2 linked regions of the Ovis aries genome follow. The protein of the gene in region 2 purifies or fractionates together with the protein of the main gene of each other region. This does not show direct contact. Links are inferred from orthologs where the notes say so. Each region holds a gene or a part of one and is shown on either strand. Other genes may lie near its edges.

Region 1 (3,815 bases), on a different chromosome or scaffold from region 2:
AAAGAAATGTGAAAGTACGATGTATGGTTTGATAGTCCAGTAGCAAAAAGATGAGTGACAGGGCTAAGGTTAATTAGATAAAGAAACAGTTGAAAAGGAAAAGAATATTCAGCACAATAGGAAGAAGGGAATCCAGGATTTATATTTCACCAGAGATAATACCTCTGTGGATTTGTTTTATGTTCTTAATGATTCAAACTTTGCCAACAAAGGTCCATCTAGTCAAGGCTATGGTTTTTCCAGTAGTCATGTATGGATGTGAGAGTTGGACTATAAAGAAAGCTGAGCACCGAAAAATTGATTCTTTTGAACTATGGTGTTGGAGAAGACTCTTGAGAGTCCCCTGGACTGCAAGGAGATCCAACCAGTCAATCCTAAAGGAAATCAGTCCTGAATATTCATTGGAAGAACTGATGCTGAAGCTGCAACTCCAATACTCTGGCCACCTGATGTGAAGAACTGACTCATTGGAAAAGACCCTGAGGCTGGGGAAGATTGAGGGCAGGGGAAGGGGACCACAGAGGATAAGATGGTTGGATGGCATCACTGACTCAATGGACATGAGTTTGAGTAAACTCCGGGAGTTGATGATGGACAAGGAAGCCTGGCAAGCTGCAGTCCATGGGGTCACAAAGAGCCGCACATGACTGAACGACTGAACTGAACTGAATGATCCAAGATAATGGAAGGAAACAAGAAGATGCATAATCCAAAAATAATTTCTATTTGATTTTGGAATATATTAGTTTTTTTTAAGCAGATTGAACTTTCTATTTTGCTTATGCTTCTATTTAACACTTTGCTACTGTTCAGCTGCTCAGTCATGTCCGACTCTGAGACCCCCGTGGACTGCAGCACATTCTGTTGACATCAGACTCTTAGATTCCCTTTTTTTTTTTTTTTTTACTGCTAAAACTATCTACAAGTGTGTATTCCCTATGTGGACAGCTGGGAGAGGAAAGGGGTGATTTGGGAACAATTTGAAAGAATGAATGGCAAGGAGAACTGGTCCAGTATGAGAAACAACCAACACAAACAGCACACAGGCAGTCAAAGGGTGATTATGTTAAGGTGACTACTTTGTAGCAGGATGACAAAGCACCTGGTTTTGGTTCTTTTCTTTTGTGCAAGGGGAGGCCAAAAATCCAAAGACTGAACACATACTTCATTAAACGCCTTGCCAGGAATGAGTTAAACTGACAATTTTCAAACTTTTTAAATGGAGATCCAGAATAAAAATGTGACATCTTGACCTAGCATCATATATACACATATGTGTGAAACAAAAGTTTCATGTAACAGTATTTCCCTTAATTACATGGTTACACACTCTGATGTTTCTATTCTGTTTCATTTCTTTTAAATGGTGATCACAATACACTAAAATTATATTATGTTCCAACAGTTACAATTCACAGACAACCCAGGAAGGGGAAATGGTAGGCTTCATCTTTATAGCCATCAGAGATGAAATATTATTTTTAAAAATTCACTAATAAAAAACAATGTAAGTTAAGTGCTCCCATGAATGGTATAGAAACTAAAGCAAGATAAAATCACAATAGTCTAAGATAGAGAAGATTTTTGTCCTAGAAGAGACAGGATGTGAGGCAGACCGTGAACAGTAGGTTAAAAAGTCAAGCTACAATGGAAGGGACACATTTGACTTCAAGAACAAGTGAAGGAAAGGCATGGCATATCAAGGGAACATTGAATTCCAATAGAAACTGTGTCTTTAAAGGATATAAATGGTCACTGAAGAAAATGACTTGAGTAGAGAAATCTTTCTCAGAGCATTTCCTTAACTGGAAACCTACAAAAACGTGACATGAAAGTGACTGCAAAGTAAAAAAAGACATTTGCTTGAAATTTATAGATACTGGACACAAGCACACTAGAATCAAGCCAGAAAGCATAAAGCTGCTAATCAAATCCCAGTAAGATGTAAACACTGAGATTCTTCTTCAGTTAAGCCCATTTTACTAATATATTAATATATTATTGCTAATTATCACAGCAGCTACCCATATTGAGTACCTACTAATACCTTGCAAGATCTGGTACATGCATTCTTTCTGTTGTCACAGTAGATACTTATCCATTTTATGGATAAGGAAATTGAGGTTCAGTTTGAAGGCCAAGTTTGTTTCACATGCCGCCTCTCCAAAAAAAACAATATTTTTCTTATTCAAAATAAATAAATCAAAACCCCAGAAAATACCAACCTGTTCTGAAGTAGATAAAGGAAGGGGCAAGGACCCCAGTTCCTTCAGTAATTCATTTGTTTCCTTGGCAAGCTGATTTGTAGAGTGTTGTAACTGTTGCCTAAGAGAGAAAAGATGTGCTTTAGGATATTCTCACTTCTTGAGAGCTGTTAGGATCAGTCTGGTCTCAGAGCATCTCAAGATGCAGGGAATGAAAAGGCACCTGAAGGAATGGGTTCCCAGATGCTCAGGTTCATAACAAAATTCCAAAAGTACCACCTAGTCAAACTCACTTCAAGTTGTCTTCACGTTACCGAGTAGAAAGAACCTACCTCAATGAAAACTGCTGATTAGGTATTTTAATTCTTTGGGGAGAAAAGAAAAGCATTCTCAGCAGTTCTGATAGAAATACAAAAGCAGCTGCCCCTACACCTCAATCTAATAGTTTTAACATGCTGAACTCTCTCTGAAAATTCTCACGCTGATTTGCCCAAGTTCTGCATGGTTACTGTCTGTCACAGTCCACTGACTAGTGACAGAATCCACGCACTGGGGGTTGGATGAAATGTGCATTAGAAGCATAGCTTCTACCCTAGGGAACAACCTCCGAAGATCAACTCCCACGTTTGTGCTTAAAGCTGGTGCTTTTTCAGCTTTATCCTTGGCTCCCTACCTATGCTTTATGCTTGACTTTCTGGCTCTTTCCTCCAAAACAAAGAAGCCCTATACTGTGTTAAAAAAAAAAGTAAGGAGCAGAGGGGAAAGGAAATTAAAGAGGGAAAAATGTGTGGGATTGAAAGGTACTGGAAATACAAAAAAGATTCCTTTCAGTCATGGTTTCTCCTACTATCTGGCCATTTCTGCAAAGGTTTTAAGGGAGGACAGAGAAACCACACTACTAATTACTAATATTTTTTCACTGCAAAGGGGTCTCCAAGATAGAAGGAAAAAGAAAAAAAGCAAAACCAAAAAAAATTTTTTAAACCATGAGAGTCAAAACCAACAGGGAGTCAAAAAACCAAAAAACAAAAATGGGAATTTCCTGGTGGTTCAGTGGTCCCCTCTTCCACCGAAGAGGGCACGGGTTCAATCCCTGCTTGGTGAACTAAGATCCAACCAGCCATATGGTATAGCAAAAAAAAATAACAACAATAAAATAAAAAACAAAAGCTCCCAAAAAGAGTCAATCCGAAGCTTGAGCATCATGGACAGTACTAACATACCCACAGCTACCTCACGTCTCCCTCAAAAAAGCTCAAAGTACTAACAGTAAGTGATTCTCTCACTTCCCAATGTCTAGGACAGGAAACAAAAATAGTGTTAACGATGAAAACTAGAACTTATAAGAGCAGAGACAGAGTCAAGGAGGACATAATAAAAAGAAGCTATTCCACTATTCTCTCCTCGGGTCATTCTGAATACACTTCTTTAATATTATATACAGCTGGAAATCCAACAGATTAGACAAGCACTGTAGATCATCAGGAGGCCTGTGCCAACAAGGAAGCTCATGTAGGGAGAATGCAGTTTAAGAGTGGTAGGGATTCCCTCTCTACTTCCCTAAATTGTTCTGCTAAGCAGTCCAAGGGAGGAAGAAAAGCAGAGTCTAAG
Region 2 (4,391 bases):
GACGCCACATGTGACTGCCGAACTACACCAGCCTGACTGTGGCACTAAGTTTTAAATTTTAATTAATTTAAAATTTAAAACTGATACTCAAATGCACTTACCAAAAATTTTAAAAATATACTTGGAACAGTTTGGGTATGTGAATCTACTTTTTCAACTGTAAGTTTAACGGATTCTAAAAACAGATCAAGTGTCTCTGATGAAAATTCAGCATCCAAATTGAGATGTGCTGTAAGTGTAAAACACACACCAGATTTGAAGACAGCACAAAAAGGGTGAGAGTCTTCGTTAATAATCTTTATAATTATCATGTTGAAATATTTTGACTATATCAGGTTATCGATGACATTAAAATTAACTTTACATGTTTTTCACTTTCCCTGTGTCTACTAGGAAATGTAAAATGGCATGTGTGGCTCACACTGCATTCTGGAGAACACTCGTCCAACAAAACCAAGGCAGACGCAAGAGGAAAGAGACTGGAAGCAGGAAGACCAATTAGAAACTCTTCTTGATGAGTCCAGGAAAGACACCCAGGACTGAATCACCTAAGTGATACCCATCTTCAAAACCCAATTCAAGACCTGCTACTACGTCCAAAGCTTTTCCAATTGTAACCTGTCCTAATGGGATGCCTTTCTCCAAACTACTAGGGGACTTAATCATCTGTAGGATTCACTTCAGCACTTAACCATTTCCACCAGTCATTTCTACTTAATTATTGGGTGACTTGTTTCTCAGATTAGACTACCAGCTCCTAGGCTAAAGGTCACAATTTAGGCTTCTTTCATTTTTCCACATCATGCAGTGAGTGTATTTTCAAAACTTTTAATAAACAGAGGTACATGGCTCCCCATATATTTCACCACATTATCTGGAGACATGTAGTTAATTTTACTTCTCCATAGCAAAAGGTTTTAATATCTTAAAGATATGAGCTAAAACAATGTACAAGTCAAACAAGACTCCTGACCAATGTTCCAATAAAGCAGTGATATCTAATCAGTGAGCAAGCCCTGGCAAACTGTACTATCAGGAAAAAAAGTCAAGATGGCAGAGCAATTTAGCATTTTCACAAATTCCATTTTAAAATGAAACAAAAAATTTTGATTATCTACAGCCTCCACTGCCAGACATAACCTTTGAAACCTAAGAATTAAGAATGTTTAAAGGAAAAACACACAGCTTTCACATTTAAAAATTAACCCCTAAAAAAAAATCAATTCTTCTAATAACATTTTCCAGGTAGAGATCTATGTATTATTAATCATCTAAACTCAGATTTTCCCACCTAAAGTCAGGTAAAGGCAAAAATATTTAGGGAAATGTTAAAATATATATAAATGTATCTTACTGTATCATGGATAATAAAGTATTTCACCTAGAGTATCACTTAAATTTTCTTAGAAGAACCTTTAAAAAAAAAAAAATCACATACACCCTCAAGCAACTGGTCAGCTTTTACCCTTACAGAAATAGAAATAGGGAGCTAGGAACTAGCTGAAAGCAAAGCAGTACTTTAGGGTGATTAGCACTGATCTCTCAGGAACTTTGCAGTTCTCAAATTTTTAACGTGTTTGACATTTAAAACAAAAGTTGTAACAACAAGATCCATCTTCCCTGAATTTGTTTAATGGCTACAAAGCCTATGTAACAGAGTGCCAAGTTTCTGGGTATCTGCAAACAACTGAGCAATCAAAGATGGAGTCACGACAGCTCACAGAGAAAAATAAGTTTAAGGCTATTCGAGTCTGAAAGGCAGAGGAAGAAATGGGGGAAACCTGTCAAACAGCCTGGATGAAATCAGGGAGTTAAAAAGCAAGCGCTCATTTCCTTTAGCACTGTGGGAAAAACCCAGTGCTAACAGAAAGCTAAGGAAAGTTTAGTTTGGCTGATTTCATTTTGTTTTCCTTCCAACATCATCACTGAGTTTGAACGGCTGCTTTCCTCCCCTCCCATTACTCAGTAAAAACTCCCCCACTGAATTGAGTCGTCTTCCGGAGCCAGGCGCCCCCGCCTCCAAGCCTGCTAACGTGCTCAGACGCCTCTGGGCATGTTGTGGTCTCACCAGTCTGCGGGGCCAGCGCTCCGAACTCAATGGACAATAGGAGCTCACCCCCGTCTACGCCAACTACAAAGCTCAGGAGGGCCATTTCCCTTTTCCTGCCCAGATGCTGTTTTTCCCCCTTCGAAGCAGGGCCCCGTGCTCCACTAAAGCCCCAGTTTGGTCTGGGACGCCTAAGCTCCCTTCCCACCTGCAGAAATGCTGAACCCCTCCTCCCGTTCAAACAAGTTATAGGGCAGCGCACAGGCCAAAGGGGACCCCCTTCCCAGGGGCTTGACTGGGGGCGTGGGTTTCAAAGTTCAGGTAGGACGGGAAAGGGAGGTCTCTGGACACTTGATCATGGCCCTCCAGGCTAAGCCGTCCCCACTGTCCCCACGCCAGCCTCTACTTGCCTCCCATCCCCCCTACAACGAGGAGAGGCGGGGAGGTGCGGGCAGGCAGCACGGCCACCGCCTCTTCCAGTGGAGCCCTCGGCAACACTCACCCTTTCACCACAAAGAAGGGGTCCTCCATGGACATGGCGTCCCGGCCCCCGGCCGCCTCACGTTTGCTCCGCGCACAGGGCGCCCGCGCCCTCCAAATTTCCCTCTGCCCACCCTATGCGCCTCGCGTAGCGGCCCGCGCCTCGGCCTGAGGGTCCCGAAGCCTCTGCGCGCGCAGGGCGGGGTGCACCGGCCAGCCGCTGGTCCAGCACTCGATGGGCACTGCAGACCAAATCCAGACTCTGGAGCCGGCCCCGCGGCTGTACCCTCCCCCGACTCCTCCCGGAGCGTCCGGCCGCCTGGCTCCGCCCCCAGGTTCCTCAGCCTCGGCCAATCACGAACGCCATCCGCCGCACCACTTCCGCACCCGTGCACACGTGATCACTGCCGACCCCGCCCCTCGTTGCCGGGTCCTAGGCACCTTGTCACACGACCCTGGAGGCGGGGCTCTGGGGGCGGCGGAAGAGGGCGGGTATTCTCTCCACTCGCCCCTCAGGATTCAGGGGCCGGAGCTGCTTGTCCCTACGCGGGAAAGGCATTCAGGTGTCCTAGGTATGCATTAGTATCTCCTTTGCATAATTCTTTCACCTTTCCTCTACTTTTGATACTTGATTTTGAAAACATATTGATTTAGAAATCCATCTCGTCCTCCACTTACAATAAAGCCTGCTCGTATACATTATCTGACTATATTGCACAACTTTATGTAGGTCTTACTATATCCAACAATGCGCTGAAGGCTGTATGTACATCATCTCAATATTCTTGGGGGGAAGGTATTATTACCATTTAGTAGATGAGAAAAGTTCAAAGAGGCTTCGAGATACAACCTGGACAGGGCAATCAGAGAATCTGTGCACTTTCCACCAGACGGCTGTGTTTTCTATTGCTGTGTACCTTTCTCGAAGTGACCAGTAAGATAATTTTTTCATACAGCATGTGATGCTTCCCAGGAGAAAGAACTTTTGAGGGACAAAGGAGGGGCCAGATATGGCAACTTCTTCTGAGCTAAATGGTTCAAAAGCACTTCCCAAAAGTATTTTGGTCAGAACAGTTATCAAATTCATATGCTAGATATGCTATGGGGTTTGTGAACATTAATTGCTGATTATCTTTGAGCACTTCCTGTATGTCAGGCACTGTGCGAGTGTTATCTCAGTTGCTCTCAGGAGGTAATTACTGTTGTTATCCCCATTTTACAAATGAGAAATCTGAGACTCTTGCAGGTTAAGTGACTTGCTTAAAGTACCAGTCTTTTTGGAGATGGAAGAGTCCTTTGAACCAGACAAATCCTGTTTGAACCTGAGTTCTGTTATTCAGTCCCTCATCTATAAAGCGTGCACAATAATATTTAGCTTGTGGATCGTTGTGAGGGTTAAATAAAAATGCACGGAAACCCCAAGGCCCCAAGGAAGTAAGGCAGTGAAGTCAGGGAAACTAGTCTGGAAGCTGCTGTGGTCATCCAGCCTGAAGGGCTGAGGACCAGAATAGGACAGCAGAGCAATTGTAAATGGAGAGGAAGCAGACAATCTGATAGGTATTTCCAAGGAAAAACAAAAACACCTAGACGTGGTGAAAGGCTGAATGGGGTTAAGGGGGAGAGAGGTGAAAATCAGACTCCAGGCTTCTCTGAGACCCTGGAGGAGCAGCTGAAGGAGGTCAGATGTAGGGGAAAAGAAGCTGTTGGAAGAGAACTGTTTTGCTTCTGAACATATTGAGATGGGGAACTCAAAAGGGATCAATCATTTTTCATTCATTCAACAAACACATGGAAATTGCAGAGAAGATGAGAATAAAGATTAAGAGTCATAGTTGCAGCCAGACTGTGCTCAGTCACTCATTTG

What was found.
Region 1: the proteins of STX6 (region 2) and STX12 purify together in Homo sapiens (affinity purification with mass spectrometry; 4 studies listed by BioGRID and IntAct, counting the BioPlex papers as one, with this or other methods). This does not show direct contact. The link is inferred for Ovis aries from reciprocal best matches to the Homo sapiens genes STX6 and STX12.

Annotation. Positions count from the first base shown.
Region 1 is NC_056055.1:239,301,146-239,304,960, forward strand, and holds part of STX12 (syntaxin-12), read right to left. Parts: intron 2,326-3,815; coding exon 2,226-2,325; intron 1-2,225. UniProt on the Homo sapiens protein: SNARE promoting fusion of transport vesicles with target membranes. Together with SNARE STX6, promotes movement of vesicles from endosomes to the cell membrane, and may therefore function in the endocytic recycling pathway.
Region 2 is NC_056065.1:61,535,930-61,540,320, forward strand, and holds the start of STX6 (syntaxin-6), read right to left. Parts: upstream 2,812-4,391; 5' UTR 2,585-2,811; coding exon 2,550-2,584; intron 1-2,549. UniProt on the Homo sapiens protein: SNARE promoting movement of transport vesicles to target membranes. Targets endosomes to the trans-Golgi network, and may therefore function in retrograde trafficking.